Regions from separate parts of the Mus musculus genome. Here all the other regions are reported to be linked to region 4. The links are microRNA targets in miRTarBase. Many come from high-throughput screens and were not tested one by one. Region 4 holds a microRNA gene; each other region holds the end of a gene's coding sequence.
Evidence for each region. Region 4 holds the annotated microRNA mmu-miR-146a-5p (UGAGAACUGAAUUCCAUGGGUU, at 2,184-2,205, opposite strand). A microRNA usually pairs through its seed, bases 2 to 8, with sites in the 3' UTR of a target mRNA and lowers its output. Matches are read on the target gene's strand: a 7mer-m8 pairs with bases 2 to 8, a 7mer-A1 pairs with bases 2 to 7 and ends in A, and an 8mer does both.

Region 1 (3,168 bases), not on the chromosome of region 4:
GAATCCCTCTTCTGGCCTCCGCAGATACCTTTGTATATACATGTATATACTTTGTATATACATGGTGTATTTAAAACTCACGTAGAAACACACATATAAAAGGAAAAATCTTATTTTCAAAAAGCAAACTAAAGGTATAAAGAAAACCTTGGCTCCAAAGACTGCCCTGAGCTGGGCAGTGGTAACGCATGCCTTTAATCCCAGCACTTGGGAGGCAGAAACAGGCAAGTTTGGGGCCAGCTTGGTCTACAGAGCAAGTTCCAGGATAGCCAGGGCAACAGACAAAAAAACCCTGTGAGAAAAAGGTGGGGTGGGGTAGGGAATTAGCTCAGTTGTAGAGCATTTGCTTAGCAAGCGAAGTGCCCTGAGTTCCAGTCTCCTTCCCACATGCTCAGTTTGGAGTGGGAGGGGGCCCACAAAGTTCTGTGCTCATGGTTCATGTCAGGGTATTTGAAAGACAAGAAGTTGTCCCCAACTTATTAAGTGATATTTTCTTTTCCATAGGCTTGGATTTAGAACCTGAAAAGAGCCAGGGACCTGAAGAAAGTGATGAATTCCAGAGCTGATTTGTTCACTCTGACAAATCCCTCAGACTCAGAGGTCAAAGTTCTCATGCTTGGAAGTTCTCATAGTGTGCAAACTCCTCAGTAGCCCAAAGGCATCAGGTGTGGGGGCTCACTCTGGCAAAGGAGAGAGGGCAGTGGACCCTGCTGTTCTCAGAATGTGAACACAGACAGGGCCAGCCAAAGAACTTGATAGAAGCTGATAAGGCAGGCAATGTGAGGCCAGCATTTGTGAGCAAGGCAAGCAGAGTACCTAAGGAATTGGGTAGTACAAAACAGAAGACTGGGGCTGGTGAGATGGCTCAGTGGGTATGAGCACCCGATTGCTCTTCCAAAGGTCCGGAGTTCAAATCCCAGCAACCACATGGTGGCTCACAACCATCTGTAACAAGATCTGACGCCCTCTTCTGGAGTGTCTGAAGACAGCTACAGTGTACTTATATATAATAAATAAATCTTTAAAAAAAAAAAACAGAAGACTGCTAGCTACACAGGCCCAGAGGACACAAGTAGGTCTGTTTGTATGGTGGGAGCTAGCTCCCCTGAGAGCTAGATAATATATCTGCAGTCTGTGAGTCTATTCCTCAGAACTTCCCTAAAACACCAAGCGAAAGTAGCTGTTGTGCTTGTAAATTGCAAAAAAAAAAAAAAAAAAAAAAAAAAGAGTGTCTTACAGTTCAGTCCACTAGCTAGAAGTGAGCACTCTGAGATTCTCCCAAGAGTCTAATAAAACCCCCCTCCCCATCTTGGGTGGATATATGCAAGCCTTGCCAGATAGCAGTGAGCTAGTTTCATATGACTACCTGCCTGCCTAGGCAGGCTCTCTCTATACCCTGCAAATTGACTGTGGATGCCCAAGGTTCTGCTTATGGCAGAAAGGTCCAGCAAAGCCCAGCTTTGTGGTACCCAGACAGTGAGAAGCCCCAAGAAAGAAGAAACTGAGAGCAAAGCTAAGTATTTGAGGGGGAAGAATGTTACATTTAAAAAAAAAACAACAAGTTTTTGTATAATTAAGTGTCTTCACAAGTAGCCCAGGGCTATAGCCCAGGCTTACAGTGATTCTGTGTTTGAGTCATGAGTCACACTACATGCCCCTGTGTAATTGGTGACATCCAATTTGTCCTTGAGTAATAAAAGCATACATTTCACTGTCTGGTTAAACTTGTGGAATTTGTTGTGCTAAAAGTGTTATGCTTTCCTAATGCTTTATATCTCTGGGCTCTTAAGTGTCCACCCAAAACTCAGGCCCCTAGCATTTGTTCTTTTCTCTTGTCAGGCCAGACTGGGGATAGATCCCCTTGCTTTCTTGTCTTGCAGATTTCGTGGATATTGATGCTATTGGAATTGAAGCCTTCATGTCTGAATTATTCATCAATCATATATAGAAATTTCATTAAGTTTTGATCCTGATCTTTATTCTGTGGCCTTACTTCTTAGCCCCACTTGTTTTGGGGGTGATTACTCTGAGATAGTTTGTATACAATCAACCTATCTGAAAATAAAGATAATTTTACTCCATTGCCAACCTATATGCCTTTTAATTTTCTTTTCTTTTTAGAACTAACTATATAGCCCTGACTGTCCTTGATCTTGATATGTAGACCAGACTGGCCTTGAACTCCAGAGGTCTACCTGCCTCTGACAAGGCATGCTCTACCATACCCAACTTGACTTTTTTTTTCTTCATTTATTGCATTGGCTAGGGCCTATAAGTTTTGAATACAAGTGGGAAACCCCACCCACTCTCAGGAGTTTTTCTCACTTTTCTTAACAAATCTATGTTTGTTCTATTAAAGAAAAAGAAAATAAACATCATTGTTATTTTTCTTGTAAAGGTGGAATTGAAAGAGGAGTTACAGAATATTTCAAATGATGCTACTGAGTCTATTGAGATAAACAGAATTTATTTTCATTCTGTTCATGCAGTGGTCACATTGGTTTTGAAATGTTAAGCTAGATGCATATTCTGGCTTGGTTGCCACATGTTCTGTTTTTGTTTGTTTTGCTGAATTCTGTAAGTGCAATTTTAAAAGTGATACATTTTCTCTATTCCCAGTTGCCTCCCAAATAAATGAGACGGACTATAAGGTTTATTTTATAAGCTTTACAGCACATTAGCTGAGCAGTTATTAACCTATTGTATTTCTCTTAAAATAATCTGGCTACCTCTGACCCAAAATCCCCATACTTGCAATTTTAGTATTGATCTGGCTCTCTCTGCTTCAGATGTTTTTTCATAGTGTTTTCCACCCTCTCCTCATGACCCAGTCTTCCCTTCCCCTCTCACTCTCTGCTCTCCCTCTGGCTGGCAGAGTCCCTCCCACCCTATTCCTCTTCTTGGGTGCTTAGTTTTTATTGACAAATAAGAAAATAAATGGGGAGCAATATCTACACAAACTTGAAGTGGAAACTTAAGGGTTCTTTGAAAAGTCAGTTGGATGATGTTTTTGCTGGGCAAACAGATGAACAATTCCTTAGAGTGGACACAGGTGAAAGGTTAAGGCGGACTCGTGAAGGAACGTTTCACTGAAGCAAACACAGAAGAGGGTGTTCTGCTAAAGCAAGCACATGAAAGGACATGTGATGAAGGATTCTTTGCTAATGA
Region 2 (3,183 bases), not on the chromosome of region 4:
TTAGTTCAGTTTTCTAATATGTATATGCAGGTTGTGTTCTGCTATAACCTATACGTATAGAGTAGGAAGCTTGTCAGTTTTAGTTTATCATCTATGCTACAGTGTGGATGAGGAGTTAGAATCAATATTTGGAAGCTATTTATGTAGTTATTTTTATTTTGGCTGTTTGAGACAGTCTCATTGTGTAGCTAGCCTTGGTTGGCCTGGAACCAATCTAACCTAAAACTGATAAAGACCAGCTGCTTCTGCCTTCTGCTTGAACTAAAGGCATGTGCTCTACTCCAGCCTCATGTTTTTCTACAGTGCTAAATAATAAGCCCTATTGATTGGATTTTATTTAGAGTAATTGCTTTTCTCTTTCTATAAATTCCAACTATTTTTTCATGTAATTTACAGTGATGTACCAAATGGATCAGCCTTGACACAAGAGAATCTCAGCCTCCTATCAAACAAGACCAGCTCTTTGAATCTGTCAGAAGACTCTGAGGGAGGAGGAGATAACAATGATTCCCAGAGATCAGGAGTTGTTTCCAATTCTGCTCCCTAGAATATGGGCACCTGCTTCTACCTTCTGCTCCTAATCAGTTCATGGGGCATAGGGATAGAAAAATGGATAACTTCTAAACTTTTTCTCTGAGTGGTCAGTGAAGTCCAGGAAAAGCACCGGAGGCAATGTGCACAAACACCACTACTAAACAAACCTGCACATAGTTCACATTGATGCATTTTTTTAATTTTAAGAAAAAAAAATTAGCAGTATCTGCAAGCAATTCAGATTAAATTTGTTTTTGTTCTGTGAATGAACTTTATTTTAATAACTTTGGACGCCTTGGATCCGGGGCTTTAAAAAAAAAGAAGATATTATATATACACTCTGTTTGATTAATTGTATGATCTTAATGAAGTAGGTTTTTCTTGTATTTTGGTATTATTACATACCCAGTGTATAATTCCTTTTCCCCAGTCCTTTCCAACTCTCACAACCCTGTAAACTAAAATAGACAAAAATGCACCGTTTCCAAGAATTCTGTGGTAATAGATTGGGTTATTAGAAACTGTGCAGCAAACTAATTTTATTAGAGCTATTCTTTAACCCCAGCCCTGTTTCTGGATCACTAGCTCTGTGGATAGATACTTGTTTTTTACAACATTAAAAGTTTATTTGAGTGGATATGGTTTTAGTTTCAACTTTTCAGAGATGTCAACATGCAGTTGATTGTTTGAGCCACATTTTGGTGTCAAGCATTCCTTGCATTATCTCCTTAAAATCTGAAAGCCTATTTAGTGTTTACAATGTTTAGTTAGATTTAAATGAAGATTATTTTATTTTAAGAATGAACTCTGAATTGGATATAATGGCTCATTCCTGTAATCCCTGGCCTCAAGATGTTGAGGCAGGAAAAAACAGAATAAGAAGAAAAGAAATGAACTTCAGCTTGTTAATAGTGAAAATAGGCATTTCCTGTTCTCCTATGTGGAGCTCATGTTGGAAAATTCGAGCTGTGTTTACAAATTAAACTTGTCTTGAAACCCTAGAATAGAAAAACCAGGACAGTGAACCATACTCTAAAGCTGGGAGCCGGCTCAGCAGAAGAGCACCGGCTGCTCTCCCGGGTTCTTGGCAGCACCTGCAGGGTGTCTCCCAGTTCCACTTTCAGGGACATGACACCCTTTTCTGGCCCTTGTGGACACCAGACACAATGAAGAAAATTTTTTAATTAAAATAAAACTTAACACTCGATAGGAGCTTCAGTAAACAAGGACATATTATTTCAATGGAATTTTTGTTTTCCTTTCAAAAGCGTTAAAGATTTGGCAGATAGAAACTGACTGAGTCTTCAGGGTAGTTCATGCTTTGGTCACTTGTCAGTAATCAGAATTACTAGAATAACTATAAATAACTTGAAGTGAGTTTTTATAGACCTGGCTTTCTGACATTAAAAATGTTTATGAAAAAGTTGAAGAGTGAGGAAGAATTTTTATTTAGTTCTGCTGCACATATTCTAATGCTAACCACTGTTTGCTTAATTTACTAAGCCCCTCTAAAATGAGTTCAGCAAGGCAATGTTTCGTAGAATCACTCCATCCCTCTGATTGCCTGACGTCAGTTTCCCTTTCTAGATGATGCTACAAAACAAGAAAGCACTGGTTATGTAATAAGTTACTGCATTGCTTTGGTTGGGTAAAAGCAAACGTTTATATTTTTCTTATTTCTATTTCCTGAACCCTTAACTCTGCTGAGGTCTGCGTCACCTCAGTCTAAGCTCTGTGTCCATCATCTTGTTAATTGAAACAAGTGGGTGGGGGTGGGATAAGAGTGGGAGGGGTGGGAAGGGAAAAATAGTCCTGCCATTGCCTACCAGTAGGAAATCCAAACAGAACACTCATTTGAGTAGCGATTATTTAATTTGCCCAGTCAAGGCACCGTGTTTATATACTATTTCACATTGAATTTGATTATGCCCTACAGACCTGGCTGGTCAAGGATTTGATATACACATATTGGCTTGGGATTCGAGCTTTCTTTTTTATTTAAATAAAAATTTATATATATATTATATATATACATATATACATGGCTATATCTGTATATATATCGGGTATGTTTTAAAGATTTCTTCGCATGAGCGCAGCTGTTGCAATAAGATGACTGATTGGGAGGTAGAGGCACCGAATGACGGTGAGGCATTTCTCAGTTGATGCATACATTTTCCTTTTAATTTTAAATACACATTTGTACATTTGCTTTTTTTGGACTTTTTTTTTTAAGATAAAATGACTCTTACATTTATACTTTACTCATTATTTATTGAGATGAGGAGAGAAATGTTATGCCTGACAGGATTTTTATTTTTCTGCATATCTATAAAACGCCACATTATTGGCCTCTTGCCTTCAGTAGACAGATTTGGGTGGGTCTTACCTCCTTTGGACATTTCAAGATAATTCCTAAGTCTTAGAAGCAGATGGGTTTTTGTTGTTGTTGTTTTTAAAATTGGAATAACTAGGGGGAAATCTGCATATTGGTTTTCTTGGAGTTAAGAATAAAAGTAAATTTTCATTGTAGTGTGTATGAGACCCCCAAAATGTACTCTGCTGCGGTGCACTAGTATCCTTTTAGGTATATTTTTATTTAGGGAGAAAATTAGTCTTTTAAATGGTAGTATGAGTTCCCCAAGCCCC
Region 3 (3,173 bases), not on the chromosome of region 4:
CAGACCAAAGGAAGGCACCAACCTGAAATTCTCCAAAAGGGGGTCACCCTTCCAAGACCAAAGGAAAATCAAAGTTCAATAAATATTCTCTCCGCAGGTGGGCCCCGAGAACTGAGCTTAGGTGCGGCAAGCTTGCTTTCCACGGAATCATTTCACACTACACTCCTCTGGGGGGTTCTCCAAGCTTACAAGGTATGACACTAGATGTCACTTGAGTCTACAGGAAAGAATGGAAGGCACCAGAAATGCTAAACACACACACACACACACACACACACACACACACACACACACACGCACACATACACAGAGTCTCCCACAAAGCTCATGTTTTGAGAGAGGGTCTCACTATGTAGCCCTGACTGGCTTGAAGTCACAATGATCCCCCTGCCTCTACCTGCCTACTGCTAGGATTAAAGGCAAGTTCTGCCAAGCCAGACCAACCAAGCTGAGTTTGCTTGTTTTTAAGCAAAACTTTTATCTGTATGATTGAGTTTATTGTGTAGAGACATGTTTATTTGAACAGACTCACAAAAGCAAAGGGGGAAAGTGAAGAGACCTTCTTCACCGGAGACTTGAATAACTAAAGGCACGCGTTCTTGTCCCTACAACCACTCAGAATTAACAGTATGGCTGGGTGGCTGGGTGGAGTAGAAAATGCCTTTGATTCTAGAGCTTGGGAGGAAGAGAACTCTGTGAGTTCAAGGCCAGCATGGTCTATTTAGTGAGACAAGACAAAAAAAAAAAAAAAAAAAAAAAAAAAAAAAAAAAAAACACACAACAATTAAACTAACCATGACTGAAAATAAAAACTGAAGAAAAAATACTAGAAAATACTAATTAAACTAAAATGAGGAAAAAACGGAGGAATACAAAGGCAGGGGAAAACCATACGTACATGGACTACAAATTCATCAAGAGATAGCTGGGCTTGGTGCTGAAACTGTATAAGGTGTAAAGTGACTAAACAAAGTGACTCGAAAGCAGAGACTAAATGAAAAACCCAGTTAAATATGCCCGAAAAGAAGGTATTTAAACACAGGGAGTTTAAAAGTAAACAAACAAAAAGTTATACCATAAAAACAGTAGACACAAAAGAATTCTTTCCCTTCAGTGTGAGACAGTGTTTTAAGTAGCCCAGGCTGGCCAAGCTCACATGGAACAGGGTATAACTTTGAACATGGGTTTGGGTTACAGGGATGTGCCACTTTGCCCAGTTTATGTACTGGGAGGACAGACCCACATGCTAGGCAAGCACCCTTAAATGGAAGACTCCTCAGCCCCACGAATAATTTTGTTTTAAATCTGAATCTCTCATGAAGTAGCAGATCTCTCGTTTCAGCGGCGGTCTGATTGCCCTGGCCTGCTGCGATTGCGGGTGTGCGTCCCTGCCCAGCTGATATGGCAGCTTTTGAGTTACACCTTGTAGAACAATGGTTTCTATTTACTATCTGGTCACTGAGAACCAGGATCCCTCAACTCAGAGGAGGAAAAGTGCCCTCAACCTTGATTTTTGCCTCTTTGCCAGGGCCTTGTGCATTCCTCTAGGCCTGAGTTGACTCCTTCCCCAGCTCTTGTTATTTTGGGGTTTTTTCTTTTAATGTGAGCAAGCGCTTAACATGGGTAGGCCATCAGGATTTATAGCAGTGTGTGGCTGTGACCTTTGATCCAGCTTTGAAGTGAACATAATTCTTTACCCACCTTCATTTGTACTACGGCCAAGCCACCCTCTGGCACCTTCCCTTCACTTCCGTACACCCTCTGGGTCTTCTGTGTCACTTACCAACTTTTGTTTGAGTGTTCTTTTTTTCTGGAGCAGAGACTTTCACATTTAGGCAAACTTCAGTGTGCAAGAATGTCCTACTCTCTAAAACCGCCGTCCAGAAGCTGTAGTGCACCTTGGCTTCTTAGCTGCGGCAGGAAAGCACAGGACAGGCCTTCAACAACAAAGGAGCCTCACAGCAAGCATGGCTTTGTAGGAATGATTCTGAGGCATGCGACAACCGGTTCCCTCCTGGGCAACCAGGCTTTGCAAGTAACTTTCTATCCTAACAGACCATACTTGCACATGCCGCAACAGTCAAACTTACAACCTTGGAGAGTTTAAGATAAACTCAGCGTGGGCCCTTCTGAAATACACAGCAGCTCACTGCTGGTGACCTCACTACTGATGTCATCATGAATTGATGCGGATACCTCACTACTATCTGCCATTCATCTGTAAGCAAAGACTGAGGGGCAAACTCACCCTCCAATCAAGAGGAAATCTCACCCACCCGGATTATTCACAGTGGTTTGCCGTCCACAGCTCTTCAAAGCAGTGACACACACACACACACACACACACACACAACCTAAATCAGTCTGCCCTGCCCCCATTTCCTATATTCCTACTGTGTTCTGATTGCTTCCTTCAAGAAAATGCTCTTCATTGCAATAACTTTTAAAGAAAATACTTTATTACATCATGAAAAAAGGTATCCAACAACTAGATTCATACTTGCTTGAATCTAAAAAAAAACAAACAAACAAAAAACTGAAAGTTTACTCATTAGACTGTAGGTGGGCGTCCCATTCCACATGGGAAGAGAGAGGTGCGAGGGCGTCTAAAGTATTGCACAGTCTTGGAACATAAAGAAGAGGAGTCTGGAGGAGAAGATCACATGATACTGGGAACCGTCTCACATTATGAGAAACTACCAAGAAACATTCGAAAAGAAAACCCTTTGTTTCTACAGTAGCTTTAGTTTGTAGTTCTTGGAATGACTCTATTCCACTTAAGACATCTTAGTAACAGGAAGCTTCGTCTGAGCAATCCCATGTGCAAATATTAATAGAAAAATATATAAAATAATGCATCTCTTGCCATCACCCCCGGCAATCAGGACCGTATTTTGGAGAACTGTTTTGTTTGAAAAAACGGTTAAGCTGTGAGTTTGGCCTGAAGCTCCATCTCTGCCGCTCGTTTGAGTGCAACATCCACTAGAAGCTGGAATCCACTAAAATCCTGGTTGAGGTCTGGTGGAGTAGGGGGAGGAGTGTTGAAAAGACCACTCTGAGGGTTTGGACTGGGTCCAGATTTGCAAGTGTCCTCTGGGTACACGAGAGAGGTGTCTGTAAAGTTGCTGGGTGCTATTTGCGGTACATCTGTACTCTGTCCCACACCAATCGGC
Region 4 (3,183 bases):
TTCCATCTTCTGGAACAGGAAGCTTCTCTGATAATGACTGAGCAAGGCATAGATTTGCTTCTCTGGCTACTATGGCTGAAGATTTCCCATTGAGTCTGGTTCGGATTTTTTAATTTGACAACCATAGCTCTTTGGTATCAACTTGACAAGATCTGAAATTATCTAGAAGACATAGCTCCAATTATCCCTAGGAGGGGTTATTTAGATCGAGTTACCCCTGGAGGATGCCTGTGAGGTGATTAAGTTAATTGATGTAAGAAGAGCCACCATAAAGTAGGGTGGCACCCTTCCCTGGGTAGTGTCCTGGACTTCATGCAAAGGAGAAAGTGAGCTGTGCGCATCTGCTGCTCTCCACGGCTTGTCTGCCGAGGTCATGTGGCCAGCAGCTCTCAAGCTTCTCATGCTATGACTTCCTCCATGATGAACAATACCCTTGAACTGTGAGCCAAAATCAACCATTATTTTTGCCAGGCCATTTTATCATAATAACAGGGGAAAAAATCCTTTTGTTGATGTGTCTATATTATGGAGATGAGGCTTGGTAAGATTCACTGAGATCGTATAGGCAAAGCCCTGGATTTAGGAGTCGATGCACAGTAAACACCTACGTTCCTCAGTTGAAAGACTGAGCATGTGGGTGCTGTACAGTCCCCCATCTCATGCTACCTCCCTCTCTTTTCATTCAGAGACAAGAGTAAGAAGGAAATCCCAGGACACCAAGACGTAGTGATGAGTCAAAGAGGAGTTCCCAAAGCACAGGGCACATTCCTAATTCCCCACTAATTCAAAAGCTTAATAAAGTCCAGATAATCAGCAGCAGCAAATCAAGCCCAACTCTCAGAAGAGACCCAACATGCTTGGTGACAGAGGTCTTTATTGCCTCTCTACAAGGACCTGAGCCCCATCATTTAATAGACTATATGTCCAAATAGACTTTCTAAGGCTTCTTAATCCTCATCCCTGGAAGAAACTGTCAGTTACAGTGGAGTGTAATTACAACTTCTTTTGTCTTGTTTGGAGGTACAAAAGAACACTCTACCCCTTGTTTGCTTAAAGTAGGCAAGAAAGCACAGGTTCAAATAAAAGGGATGAGGGGCTATAAGAAGGATGTGTTCTTTATCCTTTTTTGCTACATATCTGAAAAAGCAGCCAAACACCTCAGCAGACCATGCTAAAGGATAATTGCCACATACAATTAATTCCATCTGGTCCCATAAAGAGACTGGGAAATCACTGCTTGGCAATCCTGTGTCTCTCAAGCTTCATTAAAGTGGTGTTTCCCATGAGTCTCCTATAACAGCATGCATAGCACTTAGTCCCCTTCATACCTGACTCATCCTAAATCATGGAAATGTAAACAAGAGTCACAGCAGCAAGAACCACTCAGTGAGGCTATTTATAGGATGCTTCGCTTTTCCCAACCGGAGGAGGAATTGCCATACTATATTGCTTAGCACTGTCAACCTGACACAATCTTGGATCATTTAGAAAGAGTGTTAGTGAGGGATCATCTCGATCAGGTTGACCTATGTATATCTGTGGATGGATATATTGATTATATTAATTGGCATAGGAAGATCCAAGCCCACTGTAGGCAGCATCATTCCCTAGGCAGGTGATCCTAGACTCTTTAAGTGTAGAGAGGGGGTCAAGTACAAGTAAGCATATATATTTTTTCTCTATTTTTTTCCTCTTTGTTGAGACACAATCTCACTATATAGCTCTGGCTAGCCTGGAACTTGCTCTGTACATCAGGCTGGCCTACCAGAGAGCCACCTGCCTCTGCTTCCAAATTTCTTGGAGTGAAGGTATGTGCCACAATGTTTGGCTCTCTTTTTCTTCTTGACGATGTATGAGACGAGCTGCTTCAAGTTCCTACTTTGTCTTCCCTATAATGATCAGCTGTGACCTGGAATTATAATCTAATAAACCCTTTCTCCCCTAAATTGTTTTTGTCAAGATATTTTATCAGAGCAACAGAAATGAAATTAGAACACACATCAATCCAACATGACTCCCTCCGGTGCCAGCAGTTCCACGCTTCACCCCACTCTCTCCACTCTTCAAGTTCCTTGGCAGACTATGAAGGCCTTCAGAGTTTGTTCCAACCAGTGTTCTTCAGGTCCGTGATGACAGAGCTATCCCAGCTGAAGAACTGAATTTCACAGGTCTGACATTGATATAACCCATGGAATTCAGTTCTCAGAGCTGGGGATACACACAGACTCTCCAGATGAGGCCTTCCTCCCAGGCCAGATCCTGCCAGCCCTGTAAAAACACAAGAGAAATCTCTGATAAATCCAAAAGCACGGCCTCTGCAGACTGGACACTCTTGATGCATAAGGATCTGGGACACAAGATAGGCAAGTTCATAAGCAATCATTAAACATGCTGGGCATGTGGTGCAAGCCTGTAATCTCAACATTCATGAGCCTGCAGCAGGAGAAATGTCAGTTTGAGGCCACCCCATAATCCCAGCGAAGAAGAAGGTGCATCAAGAGGACTGCTGGTCCAAGGGCAGCCTGAAGTACGTAGCAAGATTTTCTCAAAAGCAATCAGGAACATGACAGATGGTCTTTCCGTCCCCACTGTGCCCTCATACATGTGCCCCTGGCCTGGAAAACTGCCCTCAACGCCTATTCCTCCTGAGGCTCTCACCTACTGAATCACCTCCTCAGCAAGACCATCAATAGCAGAGATGACTGGATTGTCACCCTGTGTCTCTTCTGTGTTCACCGAACCCACCACCCCTCCCCCCCACACACCGTGTACACACACTCCTGGCACAAAGGCCCCATTTCCTAGAGTGACCCAGTTCTACATGGAGACAGAGCGCACAGTACAGCTGCACCCACACCATGCAATGTGGGCCATGCACCACCCATGATAGGGCAGGGCATGGCACTAGATGATCTTTGAAACTGTATTTCTTCACGTCAGCAAGAGCAGGACCTTCCCCTTTTCAAGCCACTGCTATTTAGGCATCTGTTAGAATCATTGAGTGTAATAGCCTCACTAATACCTCGTCTCCGTTCCCCAGTGATACCTGCCATTCTCCTGTGTCATGTTCAATCCTTCCCTTCATAGTTATAAACTAATTGATAGAGCCTTTGATGTCATTGTTGATAAATACTATCTCCCAAACAAGACTATATTTTCACAGGGGCAGAGCCCATGCTAGTG

Region 1: miRTarBase lists Irak1 as a target of mmu-miR-146a-5p. Seed matches in the 3' UTR shown: 8mer at 606-613, 8mer at 622-629 and 7mer-A1 at 713-719.
Region 2: miRTarBase lists Rc3h1 as a target of mmu-miR-146a-5p. The part of its 3' UTR that is shown has no 7-base or 8-base seed match.
Region 3: the mRNA of Tgif1 is a reported target of mmu-miR-146a-5p. Seed matches in the 3' UTR shown: 7mer-m8 at 2,898-2,904.

Annotation. Positions count from the first base shown.
Region 1 is chrX:74,012,838-74,016,005 of GRCm38, reverse strand. Irak1 (interleukin-1 receptor-associated kinase 1) reads left to right here. Exons shown (of 15, transcript NM_001177973.1): 15 at 505-2,092. The coding sequence ends at 566. Among named protein-coding and RNA genes, the nearest start is that of Mir5132, 9.2 kb to the left of the region's middle.
Region 2 is chr1:160,967,251-160,970,433 of GRCm38, forward strand. It overlaps Rc3h1 (RING CCCH (C3H) domains 1), which reads left to right. Exons shown (of 20, transcript NM_001024952.2): 20 at 397-3,183. The coding sequence ends at 547. Among named protein-coding and RNA genes, the nearest start is that of Serpinc1, 9.7 kb to the right of the region's middle.
Region 3 is chr17:70,841,774-70,844,946 of GRCm38, forward strand. Tgif1 (TGFB-induced factor homeobox 1) reads right to left here. Exons shown (of 3, transcript NM_009372.3): 3 at 2,432-3,173. The coding sequence ends at 2,924. Among named protein-coding and RNA genes, the nearest start is that of Gm41610, 2.1 kb to the left of the region's middle.
Region 4 is chr11:43,372,252-43,375,434 of GRCm38, forward strand. It overlaps Mir146 (microRNA 146), which reads right to left and starts at 2,210; the gene lies at 2,146-2,210.